Linked DNA regions of Oryctolagus cuniculus. The protein of the gene in region 2 purifies or fractionates together with the protein of the main gene of each other region. This does not show direct contact. Links are inferred from orthologs where the notes say so. Each region holds a gene or a part of one and is shown on either strand. Other genes may lie near its edges.

Region 1 (10,437 bases), on a different chromosome or scaffold from region 2:
GCCTTCTGGGCAGGACCCGACGCCTCCCCCACCCCATTCACTTCCCCCAGCCACAGGCTTCTCACAGACCGCGGTGAAAGGGACAAGGACATGGAGAGAGACCCTTGGCCCAGTGACGGCCGGGACGACCACGTGGACAGCGCAAAGAAAAGAAGGGTCCTCCTTTGTTCTCTGGAAGCCAGCATGCGGCCAAAGCTGGTTAAGGAGGGGGAACCGGGTGCCGGGGCTGGCCGGCTGGGGAGCACGGAGCAGGGCGTGGCCAGGGTCTCCTGGGAAGGACGCGGGTCCAGCAGACTTTCAGGGGACCCTTGGGAAAGGCAGGTCCGCCGGCAGCCGGAAGGCAGGCAAAGGGTCCAAATTGGGCCAGGCGGGCGCGACCCGCGGCTCCCTGGGCTGCCGCATGGCCGAGGGTCGCAAAGGAACTTGGTTCCCACGGGGCAGGCGACCACCGGCAGGGGTCCCTGGAGACCCTCCCCTCCCCCTGCCCCCGCAGCTAGAGACGCGAACGAGGGCGTAAAATCCGAAACCAGCTTGGGAAATAGCTTGAGGTGACCCTGTAAGCAGGGCGCCTCAACCAGTGTTTAGGGATTGGGGGGCTGCCGCGAAGGCTCGGGAAGGGATGGGCACCCCCAGTCTCGGCTTGGATGGAGGCGCCCGAAAAACATTTCCGCTGCCCGAGGTGTGCGGCCGGCGGGAGAGGCGGAGGGCCAGGTGCCCCTCAGCGGCGGGGCAGTGCCGCGCTCCGGGGGCGGACGAGGCGGGTAGCAGGGCCGAGCAGCGGCAGCCCACCCGCTCCGCCCAGGGGTCGGCCCGAGCTGCAGTACCTACACTGCCCGGGCCGCAGCGCGAGGGGAGGAGCCTCGAGGGGAGGCGGCGGCGGGGGCGGGGCCGCCGAGACTGGCCTGGAAACTGCTGGAAGTGGCCGCAGCACCGCTGCCGCCGCTCCTTCCGCCGCACGCCAGCAAAGAGTCCCCTCCCTCCCGGGCCGGCGCCCCTCCCCCGCCCCAGGGGGCTGCAGGCAGCTGGGCCGTTCGCCGGGAGGAGGGGGGATATATGTGGCAGATCCTAGTTAGACGACTGGGTGGGAGTGACTACCTCTGCTCGCTTCAAGTCCCCGTCGGCTCGGCCTCCTGGTTGTGGGAGGGCTTTTGGGGGAGCCGGTGGGGTCCTCGCTCGCAGATCCACTGTTGAGGCATATGAGCACTCTCAGTCCCTAATCGTGGCAGGGGTCACGCCCTGGCCGTGCAGAGAACAGGAGCTCACGAGCCCACACCGAGGCTGGCGGCTCTGGCTCTTCCCCGCCCGCCCCCTATTCCGGACCATGACGTCAAGGTGGGCGGGCGCCGGCAGGTGCGGGGCTCGCGGGCGTCCGCCTTTAAGGCGGAGGGATCCGGGGGAGGCGGCTGGGCTGTGCTTCGCCTTATATAGGCTGGCTGGGGGCTCCCAAGAGCTCTCTTGAGTCACCCCCGCGCTGCCTCGTGCCGTGTGCGGTTGGCAGTCCGGGCCCTCCGTGCTCTCTCGTGCTCGCAGCCCTTTCCCTTCAAGGTAAGGCAGCCGCGTCCCTGCAGGCCGTTCCCCCGCGGGTGCTGTCGCTGCGCAGCTCGGGAGCCAGACGCCGCGGTGCGGGGCGGCCCGTGGGTCCCCGCGCGCTCGGGCTGCGGGGGTGGTGCGTGGAGGCTTTCCAGCGTCCGGTCGGCCTGCACCGGCGCGCCGGGCCGGCGGCGCGGGGCCGCGGCGGGGGCCGGCTGCACGTGGTGGCCGCGCCGGCCCGGGGCGCTGCCATGTTTGCCCCTCCACTTCCGGACGCGGCTACGAGGGCCGCGAGGCGGCCGGGTCCGCGCGCGGGTGACTCAGCACTGCGCGCCTGGGTTGCCGCTGCTGCTCGGCCCTCGAGGTCCGTGCGGGACCCGCCGCGGGCAGAAACGCATTTGGCGTGTGGCAGGTCTTTTCCGCAGCCCTCGAGTGGGAGGGGACAGGCTCTGGAAGATTCATAGGCTCCCTCCCCCGCCCCTCCCCGAGCGCGGAGATTGTTCTCGAAGCTTCTGGAGCCCGATGCTCCGCCCCAGTGCCCGGATGCTGGGGCGATGGCGAGGCGCGCTGTGGCGCCCCCTTCTCGCGGGGCTGCGGCCGACGCATGTCCGGCAGTGACGAGGGTCGGTCCGCGGCCCCGGGCACCATTTTACTTGGGTGCGAGCAGGTGCTGGGGCGTCACGGGGCAGCCTTCGCCTGCTCTGTTCTTTGTCCCGCGTGGACTGCCCCGCGAGCCGGTTACCGCTGTTTCTCGGGTGTCAGTGTGCCCTGCCGCGTGGGGCTGCGATCGGGCCTTGGGCGCATCCACACTACAGGGGTAGAAGAGCTGCCTACGGGCGAGCAGTTTGAGAATAAAACCAGCGCCCACATCAAAGAGACGTGTGGTCAGTGATGCTGGCGTTTGAACGTGGGGCGGGAGTCCCTTGTCTGGGTTGGGACCAGCGTGGTGAGCGGCTGCTGGTCACCCCTGCTCCATGCTACCTGCTTGTCTGGTTGAGGAGGGCTTTGCTCTTGACCTGACTCGGTGGTTGTTAGTATTCACCCCACAGGTTTTAAGAAAGGGCGTGTCTTCAGTAACCCCGCCCAAAGCAGTTTAAACACCATCTGAATTTCAGAAGCGTCAGTTCTGGGGCCGCTACCTTCCTGATTCTTGACCCTCCTGTTCCAGATGCCCGAGGAAGTGCACCATGGAGAGGAGGAGGTGGAGACTTTCGCCTTCCAGGCGGAAATTGCCCAACTCATGTCTCTCATCATCAACACCTTCTACTCCAACAAGGAAATCTTCCTGCGGGAGCTGATCTCCAACGCGTCTGATGTGAGTTCCTTCGTGTTTCATGGCTGGCTGGGCTCCTCCCGAAGGGGGAAAACTGATTGCTATTGAAGGGGTTTGTCCGGGTGCTCCCTGGACGAGCGGGCCAGTGTGACCACGCGGCTCCTAGTCCAGTGAGGCCCAAGGTTCTCACTTCCAGGGGTATTTCAAGGACGCAATTTTCTGTTACCATTAAATGGCACGTTTATTACTCACTCTAAGAGTTCACAGTTCGTGTAGGATGATGGGGCAGTCAGAGTTACAGCGTGAGAGTAGCAATCCAAGAGGTTCCTAACGCTGAAGAGACGGCTAAGAAATCCGCTGTTGGTGCTGCCTTGCAGGCCCTGGACAAGATCCGCTATGAGAGCCTGACGGACCCCTCCAAGCTGGACAGCGGCAAAGAGCTGAAGATCGACATCATCCCGAGCCCCCAGGACCGCACGCTGACGCTGGTGGACACCGGCATTGGCATGACCAAGGCCGATCTCATCAACAACTTGGGGACCATCGCCAAGTCGGGGACTAAAGCCTTCATGGAGGCTCTGCAGGTAGGTGGCAGCCAGCCCTCGACGTGCGGCCGGGCCTCTGTTCTCTGCAGGACACGAGTCTGACCGTTCCCGCTTCTCTGCAGGCTGGTGCCGACATCTCCATGATCGGGCAGTTCGGCGTCGGTTTCTATTCTGCCTACCTGGTGGCCGAGAAGGTGGTCGTGATCACAAAGCACAACGATGACGAGCAGTATGCCTGGGAGTCTTCTGCTGGGGGCTCCTTCACCGTGCGCGCCGACCACGGTGAGTGGCCGGGAGGCGCTGCTTCACAGGGCGAGTGTGCAGCAGGCGGTCCTGGGGCAGCTCGCTCACCGCCTGCCCTCCTGGTCTGCAGGGGAGCCTATTGGCCGAGGCACCAAGGTGATCCTGCATCTCAAGGAGGACCAGACTGAGTACCTGGAGGAGAGGCGGGTCAAGGAGGTGGTGAAGAAGCACTCGCAGTTCATAGGCTACCCCATCACCCTCTACGTGAGTATGCTTCCCGCGGAGGCAGCCTGCCTGTGCTTCTGGTGGGCTGGGCCATTTGCTTGCCCTGAGGGTCGGTGCTCAAAACTGACGAGTGTTTCTGGGTGCTTTAGTTGGAGAAGGAAAGAGAAAAGGAAATCAGTGATGATGAAGCAGAGGAAGAAAAAGGGGAAGAGAAAAAGGAGGAGGAAGATAAGGAGGACGATGAGAAGCCCAAGATCGAAGATGTGGGCTCCGATGAGGAAGATGACAGCGGCAAGGACAAGAAAAAGAAAACCAAGAAGATCAAGGAGAAGTACATCGATCAGGAAGAACTGAACAAGACCAAGCCCATCTGGACCAGAAACCCTGATGACATCACCCAGGAGGAGTACGGCGAGTTCTACAAGAGCCTCACCAATGACTGGGAGGACCACTTGGCAGTCAAGGTGAGAGGCCTTGGGAGTGGGCCGGGGTGGAGAGGCAGGGGGTAGCCCAGCTGAGAACCGGGAGCATCGCTGATGGCCCTGCCCGAGGACCTGGCTTTCTCTCCTGGTGGAAGTTCAGGATTTTATGCAGCTGGGACCAGCGTAGGTGTGTTTAGGGCATTAGGAATCATGTCGCAAGTGCTTGGGGGACGATAATTCCAGGTTGGAGTCTAGTTGGGACTGAAGGGCACCCTGGGCCTGGCGCGTCCTGCTGGCTTACCTTGGGTCTCCTGTCGCAGCACTTCTCCGTGGAAGGTCAGCTGGAATTCAGGGCTTTGCTTTTCATCCCTCGCCGAGCTCCCTTTGACCTCTTTGAGAACAAGAAGAAGAAGAACAACATTAAGCTGTACGTCCGCCGTGTGTTCATCATGGACAGCTGTGATGAGCTGATCCCAGAGTATCTCAGTGAGTATGGCCTTGGCCCGGTGGCGTTGGAGGGGGCTGCAGGCTTCATCCCAGATAGTGGTCCAGGGAGAAAGCCGGACCTCGTGTGCGCATCCGGGTGGCTCTGTCCAGTCTGGCCTGGTCTTGACCAAGCTGCCGCACTGCCTGGTTGCAGACTTCATCCGTGGCGTGGTCGACTCCGAAGACCTGCCCTTGAACATCTCCCGCGAAATGCTGCAGCAGAGCAAGATCTTGAAAGTCATCCGCAAGAACATCGTGAAGAAGTGCCTCGAGCTCTTCTCCGAGCTGGCGGAAGACAAGGAGAACTACAAGAAGTTCTATGAGGCCTTCTCCAAGAACTTGAAGGTGAGGAGCGAGTGGCTTTCTCCCTTGGGGCACGTTTGGGTACGTGGTAAGTGGGTCGTTCAAAGTTCTAGCCCAGCTGATGGTGGTTTCTCTTCCCGCCCTTAAAGCTTGGCATCCACGAGGACTCCACCAACCGGCGCCGCCTCTCTGAGCTGCTGCGCTACCACACCTCCCAGTCTGGAGACGAGATGACTTCGCTGTCTGAGTACGTCTCTCGCATGAAGGAGACACAGAAGTCCATCTACTACATCACTGGTGCGTGCGCGTCTGGGTCTGAGGCGGGCAGGGGCTGGGCAGGGCAGGGGCATTCGTGTCTGAGTCCCATTGAATGACCTTGCAGGGGAGAGCAAAGAGCAGGTGGCCAACTCGGCTTTCGTGGAGCGCGTGCGGAAGCGGGGCTTCGAGGTGGTGTACATGACAGAGCCGATCGACGAGTACTGCGTGCAGCAACTCAAGGAGTTCGACGGGAAGAGCTTGGTGTCTGTGACCAAAGAGGGCCTGGAGCTGCCTGAGGACGAGGAGGAGAAGAAGAAGATGGAGGAGAGCAAGGCGAAGTTTGAGAACCTCTGCAAGCTCATGAAGGAGATCCTGGATAAGAAGGTTGAGAAGGTGAGCACCTGGGGCTCAGGTGTTCCGCACTCCTTTGGAGGTGCAGCTTTGCGTGCTTGCTGTGTGTGTCAAGATTCAAGGGCAGGGTTGGAGAGGGCACAATGGCTTGGGGTAAGCCAGGCCAAGGAGCCTGGAACTCCAGGTCTCCCTGGGAGGTGGCAGGGGCCGGAGCTCTTGGGCCATCTTCCTAGGCACATTCGTAGGGAGCTGGCTCTGAAGCGGAGCAGCTGGTGATGCCAGTGGCCCTGCAGTGAGTGGTTTTATTCAGGAGTTAGGTGTGAGCTGTCTCTAAGGCTTGGCAAAGATGTAAGGCTGACCTCCACACACACCTGAGGTTTGCTGGCTGTTTGCAGGTGACAATCTCCAATAGGCTCGTGTCTTCGCCCTGCTGCATCGTGACCAGCACCTACGGCTGGACAGCCAACATGGAGCGGATCATGAAGGCCCAGGCACTTCGAGACAACTCTACCATGGGCTACATGATGGCCAAGAAGCACCTGGAGATCAATCCCGACCACCCCATCGTGGAGACGCTGAGGCAGAAGGCCGAGGCGGATAAGAACGACAAGGCAGTCAAGGATCTGGTGGTGCTGCTCTTTGAAACTGCGCTGCTGTCCTCCGGCTTCTCCCTGGAGGATCCCCAGACCCACTCCAACCGCATCTATCGCATGATCAAGCTAGGCCTAGGTATGGAGTGAGCAGTGCCTGGGTTCCGGGTGGGGACACCCTTCCCTCCCTCCGTGCTGTGTGGTTGGAACCTCCTATTTTCTGTTTCCTAGGCATTGATGAGGATGAGGTGGCAGCAGAGGAACCCAGCGCAGCTGTTCCGGAGGAGATCCCCCCTCTCGAGGGAGATGAGGACGCCTCCCGCATGGAAGAAGTAGACTAGGAACTCCTCGGAAACTCCTGCCCTCTGTATAGTGTCCCCGTGGCTCCCACAGCAGCCTTGAGTGGCCCTGTCCCACCTGGCTCCCCTGCTGATGTCTAGTGGTCTCTCTCCTGTCCTGTGTCTTATGGCAGGAAACAAAGGCCTCAAGCCCCATCCCCTCCTTAATTTGACAATGGGGTTGGATGTTGTGTATTGTGGGTTTTTTTTGTTTATTTTGTTCTGAAATTAAAGTATGCAAAATAAAGATGACGCCGTTTTATACAGTTCTGCTCTCCCTTGTAAAGTGGATGCACTGCTTTTGGTGTCCAGCAGTTGTGAGCACAGAGGGCTGTGCTGGTGTTGCTCACCCCAAAGCTAAGGGGGTAGTGGGGGTGCCCACCCTGCAACCCTGTCCTCCCAACCCCTTCAGTCACCTGACACACAGGACTTGTCCACTGCAGCAATTTAATAAAATTATAAAGAGCAAAACGACATTTCCAGAGTACCAAAGCCTGCACTAGCTCACGGAGCCAGCTCCCTCAGCACCCTGTCACCCGCCTTGAAAAGCAGCACTTGGCGCCCCAAACACTTGTGCTGTGCTTTTCCCCACAGTTAAACGCAGGTGTGGGAGGGAAGTCCCCGATGTAGGGGCTAAGCACAGGTGAAGCGCTGGTGACAACAGGTAGGCTCGACACCCCCCCAAGCCCCTCAGGAGGGCTGTCAAACAGGTGACTTAAGGCCAAGGGGAAGTCTGCCTCGGGCTCCCCGCCCGCCAGCTGCACATTTTGCCCTAGAGCCAGTGCCACCAAGTAGAGGAGAGCCTGGGTGGTGGGCGGGGCCCCTCCTGCCTCAAACCTGCTGCACTGGGGCCTCCCCAGGCACCACCTTCTTTCCCCTCTGCTTTAGTCGCCCCCGGGCGTAGACTCTGAGCAGGAGCGCAGCGAAGACCACAGCCACCCCCAGCCCGCCCACCACAGTGACCGTGTGGCCATAGAGGAGGCAGGAGAGGAGGATGGCAAAGGCCTGGCGCAGGGTCATGATGATGGTGAAGACCGCCGCCCCGAACTGGCCGATGGTGTAGAAGATGAAGAGCTGGCCGCAGGCTGAGCACACCGACAGCAGCAAGGCGTGGGCTGCAAACTCGCTGTGGCGCCCCATGAAGCGTGTCCCCTCCAGGAGGGCCCCCTGCTGCAGCAGAGAGCCGACCGTGAAGAGGCAGGAGAAGAGGTTGACGCCGAACATCATCTGCACCGATGACATCTTATAGGCAAACAGGGCATCCTGCCAGTTTGAGGTGAAGCTGTCGAAAGCAATGTAGCCTGCCAGCAAGATGAGGCCTGAGAGCGTGGTGGCCGGGGAGCTGCGGGGCTCAGGCCCGCTGGACAGCAGGAACATGCTGACCCCGACCGAGATGAGGCCGGCCGTCAAGTACTCCCAGTGTTCATAGCTGCGCCGGGACACCAGCTTCCCCATCAGCATGACCGGGATCACCTTGGAGGCCTTGGCCAGCACCTGGGTGGGGAAGCTGACGAACTTGAGCGCTTCATATTGGCACCAGCTGCTGAGCACGTTGGAGAAGCTGGCAAAGGCGTACCGGTACATGGGCGCCCCGTGCCGGGGCTGCTTGCACAGGAGGCAGTAGAGGCCGGCCACGATCAGTGCCAGCACACGGTTCATTAGCACCAGGAACTGGGAGTCCGTGAAGCGCTCACCTGGCGACGTGGCAGTGGCCCCATAGCTTCGTGTCATCACCCTCTCCTGCAGCACACCCCAGGTCAGATAGGACACCTGGGAGGGGAAGGCGGGGACAGGACACGGTAAGCAAAGGCAAGGCTCAGCTGCCCCCTTCCAGGGGACGGCTACGCGACAGAAGGGACAGCACCTTTTGAGACTTCTCTGCGCTCCAGTGTGCAGGGAAAACTTCATTGGAACAAATGCTTTAGGGCCGCCCAGGCACTTCCTGTCCGCACGGATGGTACAAGGGTATGTTAAAGCTGACTCCACCCAAAGCAGTCTCCCAGCTAGATACTTTGAACCAATTCAGGTCGGGAGAGGCTCGGTCGCTCCCAGTGCCGTCCCACCGGCGTATGGGGGGTGGGGCTGGTCCCCAAGCCACAACTGTGGCCAGGTCCCTTATCTTAGCGCTCCTGGAGTACAGTGCTGGGGGAAGGCTGCATGGCTCCCCCAGGCTCCCATCGGGGGCTCACAGCACAGGACATGCAGCGGCCCAGGGCAAATCAGAAAAAAGAGGTTACACGAGGCCCGTCTTCAGTACTAGATACCCCAAAGCCACGGCGGCAGTGTTGGCAAGGCGCACAGGGACGAGGGAAGGAGGTGGGGCAGGGAACCCACCAACCAGCCAACCATCGGGACCAGTAGGGTGAAAAACCTGGTTTCACACTCCCTGCCCATTGGAACCCGGCCAGGAAGAAGAGCAAGCAGGCCCTGCCCACGTACCTGGAGCCCCGAGGCACAGAAGAGCAGCTTCAGGGCCTGCCAAGTGGGGGTGGTCTCTGCTGTCTCCGGCCGTGGAGCCAGGGGAACCTCATCAGAGGCCTTGGGCTCATTGCCAAACACACAAGCTTTCACCAGGGGGAAGCAGAGACCCCTGCCTGAAGAAGGCACACACAGTCAGGTCCCAAACCTTCTTCACAGCACCTGTCTTGCCCAGAGCAACCAGCCCGTCCTGCCTCCCCGCCTCCCCTCCCGGTGCAGCGCTGGCCAGCAACCTACAACCTGGGCCCAAGCCATGTCCCCACCCTTTCTTCACACACCTGTCTCCAGGTAGTTCTTCCGCTTGAAGTACTGCACCAGAAGGTAGCCAGGTACCATAAAGCTGGCATAGCCAGCAGCATTCACCAAAAAGCGGAAGAACCATAGCTGGGTCCAGGACTCCGGAGGGGCTTCGGGGGTCTCCCCACCTGCGCCCAAGGCGGGGAGCGCGGCCAGCACCAGCACGGCCCACCACCTGCTGGGAGAGCCGACACCAGGGTTAGGGCGCGCTTCTTCATCCCCTCGGCCCTGCAGAGGGGGCCACGCTGGAGACAGGCCCAGTCTCCTCCCCGCCCCCCTCCACCGCAGCCCAGCCCGGACAAAGAGCCTCTCTCTCGGGGGGTTCGGCGCGAGCCAGGCAGGGCCTCCTCTTTCCCGGGGGGCGGACCCGCCTCTCCGGTCACACAGGTCTCCTCTGTTCCCTCCAGCGCCCGCCGGCTGTTCAGGCCAGAGGCGGCGCCCCCTCCCCCCACCACGCCACCCCCACGTTCCCGGGGCGCCAGGGTCCCCAGCCCCGCCGCCTGACACTCCCGCAGCCCCCCAGGGAGCACAAGCCCACGCCGCGGCCCCGACCCGCGCCGGCTCCGAACAGCGCTCTGCGGGCCGGCAGCGGGGGACCCCACCCGGCCCCCCGAGCCGAGGCGCGGCAGTCACGTGGCCCGGGGGCTCGGTCACGTGGGCCGGCCGCTGCCCTAGCCCCCCACCTGGGGTCCATGGTCCGGGCCGCGTGGGGCGGAGGGGGACCGGGGAATGGAGTCCCCGGGCCGCGCTCGCCCTCCGCTCCCGCCGCCGCCGCCGCCGCCTCCGGGAGCAGCCAGTGAGCTAGCGGCTAGCGGAAGTGCCGCGCTCTTCCCGCCTCCCTCCCCGCGGCCGCCCTCCGCCCCCTGCCGCGACCACGCAGCGCCCGCGGCCGCCGCCGGCTCACAGCGCCCCCGTGCGGCCCGGAGGCAGCCTCGGCTCGGTTCCCCGGAGCCGGCGGGGCTGGGAGCCCCAGCCCTGGAGGGGTGTCCGTGGCCTCGGCGGCGTCATCGCCCTTCGCGCTCACGCTGCGACTCTGCGTGCCAACAAGCACTGAGCCTCATGTGAGCGTTCCCGCTTTCGGACGGCACGGGGAGATGG
Region 2 (11,045 bases):
CGTGGCTCACTTGGCTAATCCCCTGCCTGCAGCACCGGTACCCCGGGTTCTAGTCCTGGTTGGGGCGCCAGATTCTGTCCCGGTTGCCCCTCTTCCAGTCCAGCTCTCTGCTGTGGCCCGGGAGGGCAGTGGAGGATGGCCCAAGTGCTTGGGCCCCTGCACTGACGTGGGAGACCTGGAGGAGACTCCTGGCTCCTGGCTTCAGATCGGCCCAGTCCTGGCTGTTGTGGCCGTTTGGGCAGTGAACCAGCAGATGGAGCATCTCTCTCTCTGTAACTCTGCCTTTCAAATAAATAGCACAGTTCTTTAAAAAAAATGCTACTGGAGCCGTTCTAGTAGGCAGGGACGGGTGGGTTCTGTCAAGCCGGTGGTCCTGTGGCTGTGCCTACCCGGTGCCCAGCGCGTCACAGGCCCTCCACAGACATCTGTGCAGGGAATACACTGGGTTCTGCTTCCCAGAATCCTCAGCGTGCCTGGCTGAAATGAGCAGACCAGAGTTATGATCCCATTTTTCAGAGGGGAGCATGGAGGTCCACGGCACAGAGTGGGCCCCCGGCTCTCCTGCCTCTCAGCAGGCCCTGGGGTCAGCCCCAGAGGCTGCAGGCGATGAAGGGGAAGGGGAATGAGGAACTGGAACAGGAGGCTCAGGAAGGCAGACTGTTGCAGCTCACGACCGTCGGGTTACAGGAAATTTCCCTTCTCAGAACAGCTCAGCCACGGCGTGCGGGGCCGGGGGGGAGTCTTCCCCAACAAGACCACTTTCGGGGTACAGAGCACTGCAGCTCTTCTCGGCTCCCCGTCTTCTGAGTACAGCATCTCCTCCTCCAGTGACTGTTGTCCCTAATACCACTGGTTCACTCCCCATAGGCTCACAATAGCCAGGCCTGGACCAGGCCGAAGCCAGGAGGTTAGAACTGAATCTGGGTCTCCCATGTGGGTGGCAGGAACCCAACCTGAACCATCATCTGCTGCCTCCCAGGGTGTGTGTTAGCAGGAAGCTGGATCAGAAGCCGAGCTGGGACTCAATCCCAGGAACTCTGATTTGGGACACAAGTATCCCAAGCTCTCATATCTTATATCTCATATCTTAGCTCTCATGCCGAACTCCCACCCCAGCCCTCCCCTTCTCGGGGCCTCCGTTCTTTCTATAGGGCTCAGAACTTTGATTTTACAACAGGAGAGTCGGGCGATCACTGCCTTCATTATACACACGGAGGAACAGCCCCAGGGAGGGGGAGGGGTGTGCCCGGGCTCACACGGCGCTGAATGACAGAACAACACACTGAGGACAAACTCAAGGCCTCCGGCCATTTGCCTGGCTCAGCTGGAGGTGAGCTCTGAGGTGCAGGATTGCAACCACATAGTGAATTCTTAGCCTGCTCACTACCCTGGGGCCACCCAGTCAAGTCCAGAATTCCAGGGCAGCTGTGAGCCTCCTGGGAAGAATTTTCTCTCTAGAGTGGACAGGGGCCAGGGCAGTTTGGGGAACAGGGGATGTGACTTTGAAGTCTGAAGGAGTTGGGTTTGCAGCCACACTTTGCCTCCTACAAATAAGTGAACCTTCAAAGATGTCAACCAGGCCACACCCCTCTGCTCGAACCCTTGCTGGGCCCCTGAGCACGACCCCTCTCCAGTGGGGCAGGCCTCTGTGCTCAGACGGCCGCTCACCCTCGCAGACCTGTCCCCACCAGCTCGCTCCAGATCATTCCTCTCCATACGCACACCTCTCGCCTTGCTTTTTCCCAACATGCGAACCACGCTTCTACTGCAGGGCCAGTGCATGTGCTGCCTTCTGGAATATTCTTCACCCAGAAACGCTTGTTCACGGCGGATCTCTGTGCAGATCTCAGTTTCCTAGAGGCCTGTCCTCAGCCGCTGCCCCCACTCCCATTACTTTCTGTCCCCGTCATTCCCCGCATTCTTGGCCCACAGCATCTTACTGTGGCCTTCTGGGGCCGCACCTCTCGGCGGTCAACTGCAGGGAGCATAACCGACCCGAGGCCACAGCTGTGCTCTGACCCTCTCAGCACTGTCCCACAGACTGCTCCAGCCAGCCACAGAGCACGGCAGGGACACTGGGGCAGCCCCGCATGGAGGGGTCTGTGACCGGCTCTCCTTAGACCTCCCTCGTGGCCTGGGACACTTGTGCCTCCCCCTTCCCTCTCCCCACACCTCCTTTCTTCCTTCTCTCCCTCCTTCTCCACTCTCTCTGTCCGTTTCCTCTTCTTCAGGCATCAGCTGTGCCTTGCCACCTGACGGCTCTCCGAGCCTCTCGTGGTTTCTCCCCGTATTCTCTTGGGGGCTTCCTGTGATATATTTCTAGCGCAGTTAATCTGTGGGAGTCTGCTTCTCAAAGGCCCTGAGCTAACACACCGAATGTCACCCCATCGATTGATGGCTCATCTCCCCCACTGCGGTTTAAGACACAGGACGGCGCGGACTCTGTTCTGCTCACGGATCCATCCGTGGGGGTAAAACCAGGACACAGTAATTGCTCAATAAATTCCTGCTGAATAATTCAGTGAAGTGCCCTTTGGCCTCCTGGACACCCCGGAGCGTGTGTTTAAAGGGAGGGATGCCGTATGGGCACCAGTTCTGGTCCCAGCTGCTCCACTTCCAGTCCAGCTCTCCGATGTTGCCTAGGAAAGCAGTGGAAGATGGCCACCCACGTGGGAGACCTGGAAGAAGCTCCTGGCTCCTGGCTTCAGATCAGCTCGGCTCTGGCCATTGCAGCCAATTGGGGAGTGAACCAGCGGATGGAAGACCTCTCTCTCTCTCTCTCATCTCTACCTCTCTCTGTAATTCTTTCAAATAAATAAAATAAATCTTTAAAAAAATTTAAAAAAAAAAAAAACGAAGGGAGGGATGCCGTTGGAGTAGCTCATGCTTGGAGGCACAAAGCTTCTCTGTGCAGAGGTAGCCGCCTGCATATAGGAACAGGAGACAGGGCCAGTTGCCAGCTGAAGCAACATCCATGCCGACCTGCTGGGTGCTCCAAGCTCAACGGCCCCCAAAACTGTCCTCCACAAATGGAGTCCTTGAAGCCACAATGCCCACACACTCTGCTCTTTTCATAGCTTATAGCTGGCATAGCTGGCTGAGGCCAGGAGCCAGGAATGCATCCCTGGTCTCCCGCGTGGGTGCAGGGGCCCAAGTGCTTGGGCCGCCTTCTGCTGCTTTCCCAGGTGCATTAATAGGAAGTACTCCAGTATGAGATGCCAGTGTCACAAGCGAGGCCTAACGTGCTGCACTAAATGGTTGATTTTAATACAGATATGTGCGTTTCAGCTCAATTAGGATATTTTAAAATCACAAACTACGTAAGAGTGCTCTGCTAGAAAGGTTAAACAAATTATGGTGTTTTCAAACAATGGAATATTATAGAGTCATTAAAATGTAATAATATTTCAATGATGGAGAAAAATGCTTCCAATATAACGCTAAGCAAATGCATAGGATAAAAATGATATATTCAGCACTATATACTAACATGTTTGTCACAAAAAAAAACTCATGCTTCCATTTTTTGAGTCCCTACCAAACGCCAGGCACATGGCCACGGGTCTAGAGACAGCGGGAGGCCAGCAGAGCCGGGTTCTCCCCCCTCTCTGGGGCAGAGCCTTCGGTCTTCTCACGTGATGGGAAGGGTGGAAAGCCGCCGAGCCCTGGTGTTTTCCTCTGAAACAGCTGCACAAGGGTCCCAGGTCCCCTGTCCAGGCAGGGTAGTCCCGGCAATGCTGTTTGTCGTGGGGAACACCTGGGAGCGACCTGAATGCCCATCTGCAGGGAATGAGCATGTAAGCTGGCCGCCTGCTGGATGCGCCACGGTGGTTAGAGGGGAAGAATGACACCTCTGTGGCTCATCCTGGAAAGACATGGACAGCGCAGCCGTGAGAAGTGCGTGTGGGTGGGAGGCTCTCACCGGGAGGGCGTGTACAGCAGTCTCCCTTATCCACGATCTCACTTTGCCTGGTTTCAGTTACCCATGGTCAATCGTGGTCTGAAAGTACTAAATGGGAAAATTCTAGAAATAAGAAAGTCTTACGGTTCAAACTGCCAGCTGTTCTGAGCAGCGTGTTGAAATCCCACCTTGTCTGTCCCATGCCAGCCTGCCTGGGATACGAATCACCCAGCGTGTCCAGGCTGTGTACCGGACTTGCCACTCGGTAGCTGTCTCGGCTCTCAGGTACACTGCTACGATATCACAGTGCTTATGTTCACATTTTACTGTGGCCTCCAAGCACAGGTGCATGGCGCTGGCAGTCTGGAGATGCCAGAGAGATGCCATACAGTGCTGGGTATGAGGAAAGCAGGCTCAGGCAGCCCCTAGGCCTCAGAACATACTCCGGGGGGTAACGGGGAGATACTGTAGCTCTTGAAGACACTGGAAATCACTCTGGATTGCTTATGCAGAGATGTACACCAAATGTATAAAGGCACAGACCGGGGGCCGGCGCCGTGGTGAAGCATGTTACGCTGTCCCCTGCAGTGCCAGGATCCCACATGGGTGCTGGTTCGAGTCCTGGCTGCCCCACTTCTGCTCCAGCTCTCTGCTAATGCTCCTGGGAAAGCAGCGAAAGATGGCCCAAATGCTTGGGACCCTGCCACCCATGTGGGAGACCCAGAAGAAGCTTCTGGCTCCCGGCTTTGGACTGGCCCAGCTTCAGCTGTTGTGGCCATTTGTGGAGTGAACCAACAGATGGAAGACCTCTCTTTTTCTGTCTGTTACTCTTTCAAATAAATAAATTAATCTTTTTAAAAAATAAAGACACAGACTGGAAGGATTAATCCATGACAGCATTTCCTTCTGGGCAAGGAGAGAAAGAGAAAGAGGACAAAGTGTGTGTGTGGGGGGGTGCTTCAGTTTTATTTGTTATTTTTATTTTTAGTTTTTTTTTTTTTTTTTTTTTTTTTTTTTTTTTTGTCATTTGAGAAGCAGAGAGAGAGAGATCTTTCATCTGCTGGTTCACCCCTCAGATGCCTGCATCAGGCCAAAGCTGAGAGCCAGGAACTTAATCCAGGTCTCCCGCAGAAGTGACAGGGACTTAAGGACTCGTGCCATCACTGTTGCCTGCCAGGGTCCACATTATCAGGAAGTGGGATTGGAAGCAGAACCCAGACTCAGCCACACACTTGAATGTGGGACATGGTTGTCCCAAGGGACGACTGAACCACTCTGCCCAACGCCTGCCCCAAGTGGGCGGCTTTCTTAATGAATTTATGAAATGTAAATGAGCTTGGTGCTCAGACTTCCGTCCCATATATGTAAACGCAAATATTCCTAAACAAAAAAAATCTGAAATCCAAATCCCATCTGATCCTGAGTGTTTCGATGAAGGTTGCTCCTCCTGGATTGCCCTGTGTGCCCCCATCCTGGGTTTTGGAAACCCAGGCACAGGAAGGCCAGACCTCTTCCCCAAGGCCCAGCAGGCAGTCTGCCTCACCGGCCCTAACCATTGCACTGCCCTGTCACGTCTCACAGAGCGGCGCGGCCTGGGAAGGAAGACTCAGTGGCCGCGTTTTGGAGAGGCTGACTTGCCCAAGGACTGCCACGCGGGACTGGGCACTAGTCCCCTGGTCGCTGTCCAGGAGCTTCCGGTGGTGACCCAGACCTCCCAAGGTCGGGCTCCAGCCCAGCCGGCGACCCAGCTGCAGCTGGCCTGGGTGTGGCGCGCGTCACGCTCCGCCCAGCCGCCCCTCTGCCCGCGCCGCTGCCCGCCTGGCGTGACCGTCACACACCCGCACCGGGAACCCGAAGGGCTTTTCCCTCCCGCGCTCCCTGCGGCCGCGTCCCTTCCTTCTCGGGGTGATAACTCCCCCTGCCCCGCAGAAGGGGAACCCGGACGGCGCAGAGAAGCGCAGCCCTAGCAGCGTCTCCGTGGGCGCGGCTCCCTTCCCTCCGCCGCACGAGTTCTTCCCCGGCCCCCCTACTCCCGCTCGTCCCCTGGGGACCTACTGCCCACCCCTGCTCCCCTCGCTGCCATCTGCGGCCGGCCCTGCCCACGAGCCGGAGCTCCTCCACCTCCCTGGCCAGGTGACCCCAGGACGCGCCCGCGGTACTCACCTAGGCGCCCGCTTTTCGCCTGGCGGGCAGCCCGGATCCTCGCAGCTCGAGCGCCCCCCCAGCTCAGCAGCCCCCGGGCCTCGGGGGCCCGCCCGCAGAGAGGAAGACGGACTTGGGAGACCTCTGGGTGGCGTGCCGGTCTTCGAGGACTCCTCCGGGCGCAAAGCACTGCCAAGCTCCCCTGCTGGCACCGGGGGCGCAGTGACGCCCCGGCCGCGCTCGGGAGAGGCTAACCCCGCCCCCAAGGGGCCGAACACCGCCCCGGTCATCCTGAACGAGGTCACCATCCGGCAGAGGCCTCCAGCTCTTCCCAGGATCCACCATCCCTGGGGGCGCGTCCCTCCTGCCACTGCCCCAACACCTTCCCAATGCGTTCTTTTTTTTTTTTTTTTTTTTTTTTTTAAGATTGATTTATTCGAAAGGTGGAATTAGAGAGGGAGAGAGAGAGAGAGGGAGGGAAGAGGGGAGAGAGAGAGAGAGAGAGTTTCATTTGCTGGTTCACTCCCCAGATGGCCACAATGGCAAGAGCTGGGCTGATCCGAAGCCAGGAGCCAGGAGCTTCTTCTAGGTCTCCTGGACGGGTGCAGGGGCCCAAGCAGAGAGCTGGATCGGAAGTGGAGCAGCCAGGGCTCAAACAGGTGTCCATATGGGATACTGGAACTGCCAGCAGTGTTTAGCCTGCTGGGTCCTAACAACCCCTCTTCAAAGGGTTCTATCCCTGACCCCACTCCTAGATTTATAACCCCAACCCGGGGTTCCCACATTGCCCCTAGGTCATCCTCCCACTCCAAGTGCTTAACCCCCAGGACTTCAATCGCAGCCACCAAAAATGCCAACTTCTGGCCTCCAGGGCATCCATGCCGCCTTCAAGTAATCAAACAGGCCGGGAAGGGTCCCCTGGCTCTCTCCCCTCTCTCCCAGTCTGATCCTTTTCCAGCCCACGCTGCCTCCATGCCCTGCCCATCCCCCCATACTGTGTCCTGAACCTCCTCTGCCCTGTCATGGTCAGCAGTTTCCCCTGGACTGACCATGCAAATCCACTGGCCCATGGGGATCTCCCTGGCTCGCCCTGGGTCGGCTTCCGGGCAGCAGCGAGAAGTCGGGCTGGAGGCGACCAAGGCCAGCACGGGACGGGTGAGGGCGAGGCACGCCAGCTCCTGGAACCTGCAGGGGCTGACCTGGACTTCTGCGGAATCCCTACCGCACCCCATCCTGAGGCTCAGCACAGCCATCACTCATTCACGCCATCACCCCACACTCGCCCTTTCCCGGCGGGCACTGTGCTGGGGCTGTCAGCCGCATAGTTGCTTGCCCTGGACTGTCCTGTTTGGGATGTCTAGCAGCATTGCTGTGCTCTGCCCTCTAGACACCTGCAGCTGTGTCCTGACACAGCCCCGTGCCCCCCGGGGCATGAGAGGGGGACATGCAACCAAGAATGAAAAAGACAATGAACCTGGCCTTCCATAGTTGGTGTGTTCCAACTATGTGTGCTGTGGGTTTAATGTACTTGAATGGCACCATTTCAGTGTTGTACTTTCTTTTTCTTATTCCATGGCTATTGTTAAAAATCTGGCTGCTGGGGTCGGTGTTGTGGTGCTGCAGGTTCAGCCACTGCCTGCAATGCCGGCATCCCATAACACAGCATCAGTTCAAGTCCTGGCTGCTCTGCTTCTGATCCAGCTCCCTGCTAATGCACATGGGAAAGCAGCAGAAAATGGCCCAAGTGCTTGGGCCCCTGCCACCCACATGGGAGACCTGAAGGAGTTCTAGGCTCCTTCCTGGCTTTGTGGTCATTTGGGAAGTGAAGCAGAGGATGGAAGAATCTCTCTGTCTCTCTCTCTCTGCCTTTTAAATAAACAAATCTTTAAAAAAAATACATATATAGTTTGAATATCACCCACTAACCGAGAAAAAGGAAGCTTCAGGAGTTTACTCGCCAAAGTCACACACTAATGGCACTGCACCAAGAGGTTCGAGACTTCATCCAATTGCGTTCAGAGCCGGGGGTCTCAGGGACCTGATTAGACTGGATTAGGTCGTTAGGGCACCGGTAGCTTTGCAAGGAGGGGAGATGCAGAGACAAGTGAGCTCCCTGTCTTGCTACGTGCTGCTCCAGGACCCTGCCAGCAAGGACACCATCATCAGAGGGCAAACCAGTGGGCCAGTCTACTCTGGACCTTGACCCTCCAGAACCATGAGTGAAGATAAGCCTCTTTTGCTTGTAAAGCTAGCCTGCCTCAGGCTCATTATAGTATAGAAAACTGACACCGTAGCCAGATTGCAGAAGGTAACTGCCATGCGGTCATCTTTCATATCCTCCACCTCTAATTTCTCACTCTCTTGTTCATGGACATTTAGACTGCACAGTTTCCCACCACTGTCGACAATACCACAATGGACATCCTCAGGCACCTTCCCTATGGACTTGTGTGAGGCCGTTATAAAGACTTCAGGCCTGACGCTGTGGTGTAGCAGGTGAAGCTGCTGCCTGTGGCCCTGGCGTCCCACACGGGTGCTGGGTTGAGTCCTGGCTTCTCCACATCTGATCCAGCTTTCTGCTAATGGCCTGGGACAAAAGCAGTGGAGGATGGCCAAGTACTCGGGCCCCTGCCGCCCACACGGGAGACCTGGATGGAGCTCCTGACTCTGATTTGGCATAGCTCAGCCATCACCAGTGCAGCTATTTGGGAGTGAACCAGGGTGTGGAAGACCCCCCCGCCCCCCGTAACTCTGACTTTCAAATAAATAAATAAATCTTGGGGCTGGCTCTGTGGTGTAGTGGACTAAGCCTCTGCCTGTGGTGCCAGCATTCCATATGGGTGCCAGTTCAAGTCCTGGCTGCTCTTCTTCTGATCCAGCTCTCTGCTATGGCCTGGGAAAGCAGTAGAAGATGGCCGAGGTGCTTGGGCCCCTGCACCTGCGTGGGAGACCTGGAAGAAGCTCCTGGCTGCTGGCTTTGGATCAACTCAGCTCCAGCCATTGTGGCCATTTGGGGGGTGAACCAGCAGATGGACAACCTTTCTCTGTCTGTAACTCTGCCTTACAAATAAATAAATAAATAAAATCTTAAAAAAAAAAACTTCATTTGCCAAGAATGACAGGTGTTTCCAGAATGGTCATCACCCTGCTCTCTCTTCTGTCACTTGCCGCATCTTTACTGTCCCTCAGCATCATTGCCAGTGTTATTCGAGTTCCCCAGAAGCAGCCCACGGACATGGATTCCAGTGAAAATAGCTCATTTAGGAGATGCAGACAACATTGGTAGGGAAGCCGGTGAATGACACGGGGGAAGGAAGGAAGCCAGCGAGGGGAACATTGTCAATCAAGTGACCACGGTGTGCAACAGGAGTTCAAGTCTGCCACGGGGTTATGGAGGCAGCTGCACCATACCCCTGCATGCCTGTGCACCAAGTCCTCCAGTTAGAAGAGGGATGCCCTGGAGGGTGTGAATCCTCCTGCACCTCTGGCCTGCCCTCTACTTGTTCCAGCCACCCAGGAGCCTCCAAGGAGAGAAATGCATGTCTTGGTAAAGGCCCAGGGCACCTTAAAGGGCCATTAGCAGTAGCAATCCCTCTCCTTGCAAAACTTTAGCATTCTGATACCTGGGGAACTGAAGCATTCTTCTACTCTACCAATGTTTCTGCTATTAGAGTGACACTGTGATAAAGTCCTTGTGTACCCAAAGCTGCATCAAACATCACTGTGGAATGCTTTGATAAACAAAATGTGCCATTACAATTGTCAGCTTGATGAGTTCGGGCAAATAGAGCCTGCACTTGTGTGCTGCCACCCCCACCAAGATGAAGAGCATTTCTATCGCCCCACCCCCAATCCCCTTATGTTCTGTTTTTGGCATTTCATCTTTTTGCCCTTAGGTAGTCTTGGTAACCATGGGCTGTCCTTTTGTCACTGCAGATTAGCCTTGTATTTTCTGGAATTTCACGTAAGTGCAATCATACAGTATTTTTTTGCTGTCTTCTCTTACAAGTTATGACACGTTCCATTGGTCCATCCCTTCTCACTGCTGAGTACTATTCCATTGCACACGTGTCCCAGTATTTGTTCATCCATCTGCTTGTTGATGGCCGTGTGGGTTACTTTCAGTTGTCAGCCATGTAAGTAAAGCGGCTACGGGCGTTCAGGCACAGGTCTCTGCGTGGATGTGTTTTTATTTCTCCTGGGTACATACTTAGGACTGGAGTCCTGTATGGTTAGCTGTGCGGTGAACTGCCACACTGGCTTTCAGAGTGGTTTTGCTCCTTTGCACGTCTCCAGTGCTGGCTGATTTCCTCGCCCACGTCTGGTGTTACCATGTTTTATTTAACAACTTTTATATGTGCATCAGAGAGAACATCTACAACCGCACATTCTATTCTAAAGAAATGCTTTACCAGGCCTTGAGGTCACAGGCCTTTTGTCGTGGGAAACAGAGCTGACCACAGAAGGGGTGCTGCGCACTGCATCTTTGGGGTCAAACCGGAGCTCACACCCTGGCACTGCTGTTTACCATCTACCAGGGAAAGATGGAAACAACCCAAGTGCCCATGAATGAAGGAATAGGAGTGTAAATATTAAGACAACAATGGAATATTAAGCAGTGTTAGAAAGAGTAAGGAGGGGGGTCAGCACTGTGGCGCAGCAGGTTAAAGCCCTGGCCTGGAGCACCGGCATCCCATATGGGGCCCGTTCTAGTCCCAGCTGCTCCACTTCCGATCCAGCTCCCTGTTGTGGCCTGGGAAAGCAGTAGAAGATGGCCCAAGTGCTTGGACCGCTGCACCCACCTGGGAGACCCAGAAGAAGCTCCTGGCTTTGGATTGGCATAGCTGCAGTTGTTGCAGCCATCTGGGGAGTGAACCAGCAGATGGAAGACCTCTCTTTCTGTCCTCTACCTCTCCCTGTAATGCTATCTTTCAAATAAATAAAATAAATTTTAAAAAAAGAAAGAAAGAGTAAGGAGGGGCAGGCCTGTGGCACAGCGGTA

The links.
Region 1: the proteins of HCK (region 2) and HSP90AB1 purify together in Homo sapiens (affinity purification with mass spectrometry; 3 studies listed by BioGRID and IntAct, with this or other methods). This does not show direct contact. The link is inferred for Oryctolagus cuniculus from reciprocal best matches to the Homo sapiens genes HCK and HSP90AB1.

Annotation. Positions count from the first base shown.
Region 1 is NC_091436.1:125,876,506-125,886,942, reverse strand, and holds HSP90AB1 (heat shock protein HSP 90-beta), read left to right. Parts: upstream 1-1,338; 5' UTR 1,339-1,545; intron 1,546-2,698; coding exon 2,699-2,845; intron 2,846-3,180; coding exon 3,181-3,387; intron 3,388-3,470; coding exon 3,471-3,630; intron 3,631-3,721; coding exon 3,722-3,855; intron 3,856-3,965; coding exon 3,966-4,280; intron 4,281-4,558; coding exon 4,559-4,724; intron 4,725-4,878; coding exon 4,879-5,069; intron 5,070-5,176; coding exon 5,177-5,324; intron 5,325-5,409; coding exon 5,410-5,678; intron 5,679-6,031; coding exon 6,032-6,365; intron 6,366-6,457; coding exon 6,458-6,567; 3' UTR 6,568-6,615; exon of another isoform or gene 6,616-6,652; 3' UTR 6,653-6,830; downstream 6,831-10,437. Other genes in the region: SLC35B2 (adenosine 3'-phospho 5'-phosphosulfate transporter 1), read right to left, coding at 7,396-8,334, 9,004-9,158, 9,321-9,517, 10,023-10,033. UniProt on the Homo sapiens protein: Molecular chaperone that promotes the maturation, structural maintenance and proper regulation of specific target proteins involved for instance in cell cycle control and signal transduction. Undergoes a functional cycle linked to its ATPase activity.
Region 2 is NC_091442.1:25,720,279-25,731,323, forward strand, and holds the start of HCK (tyrosine-protein kinase HCK), read right to left. Parts: upstream 6,233-11,045; 5' UTR 6,065-6,232; intron 1-6,064. UniProt on the Homo sapiens protein: Non-receptor tyrosine-protein kinase found in hematopoietic cells that transmits signals from cell surface receptors and plays an important role in the regulation of innate immune responses, including neutrophil, monocyte, macrophage and mast cell functions, phagocytosis, cell survival and proliferation, cell adhesion and migration.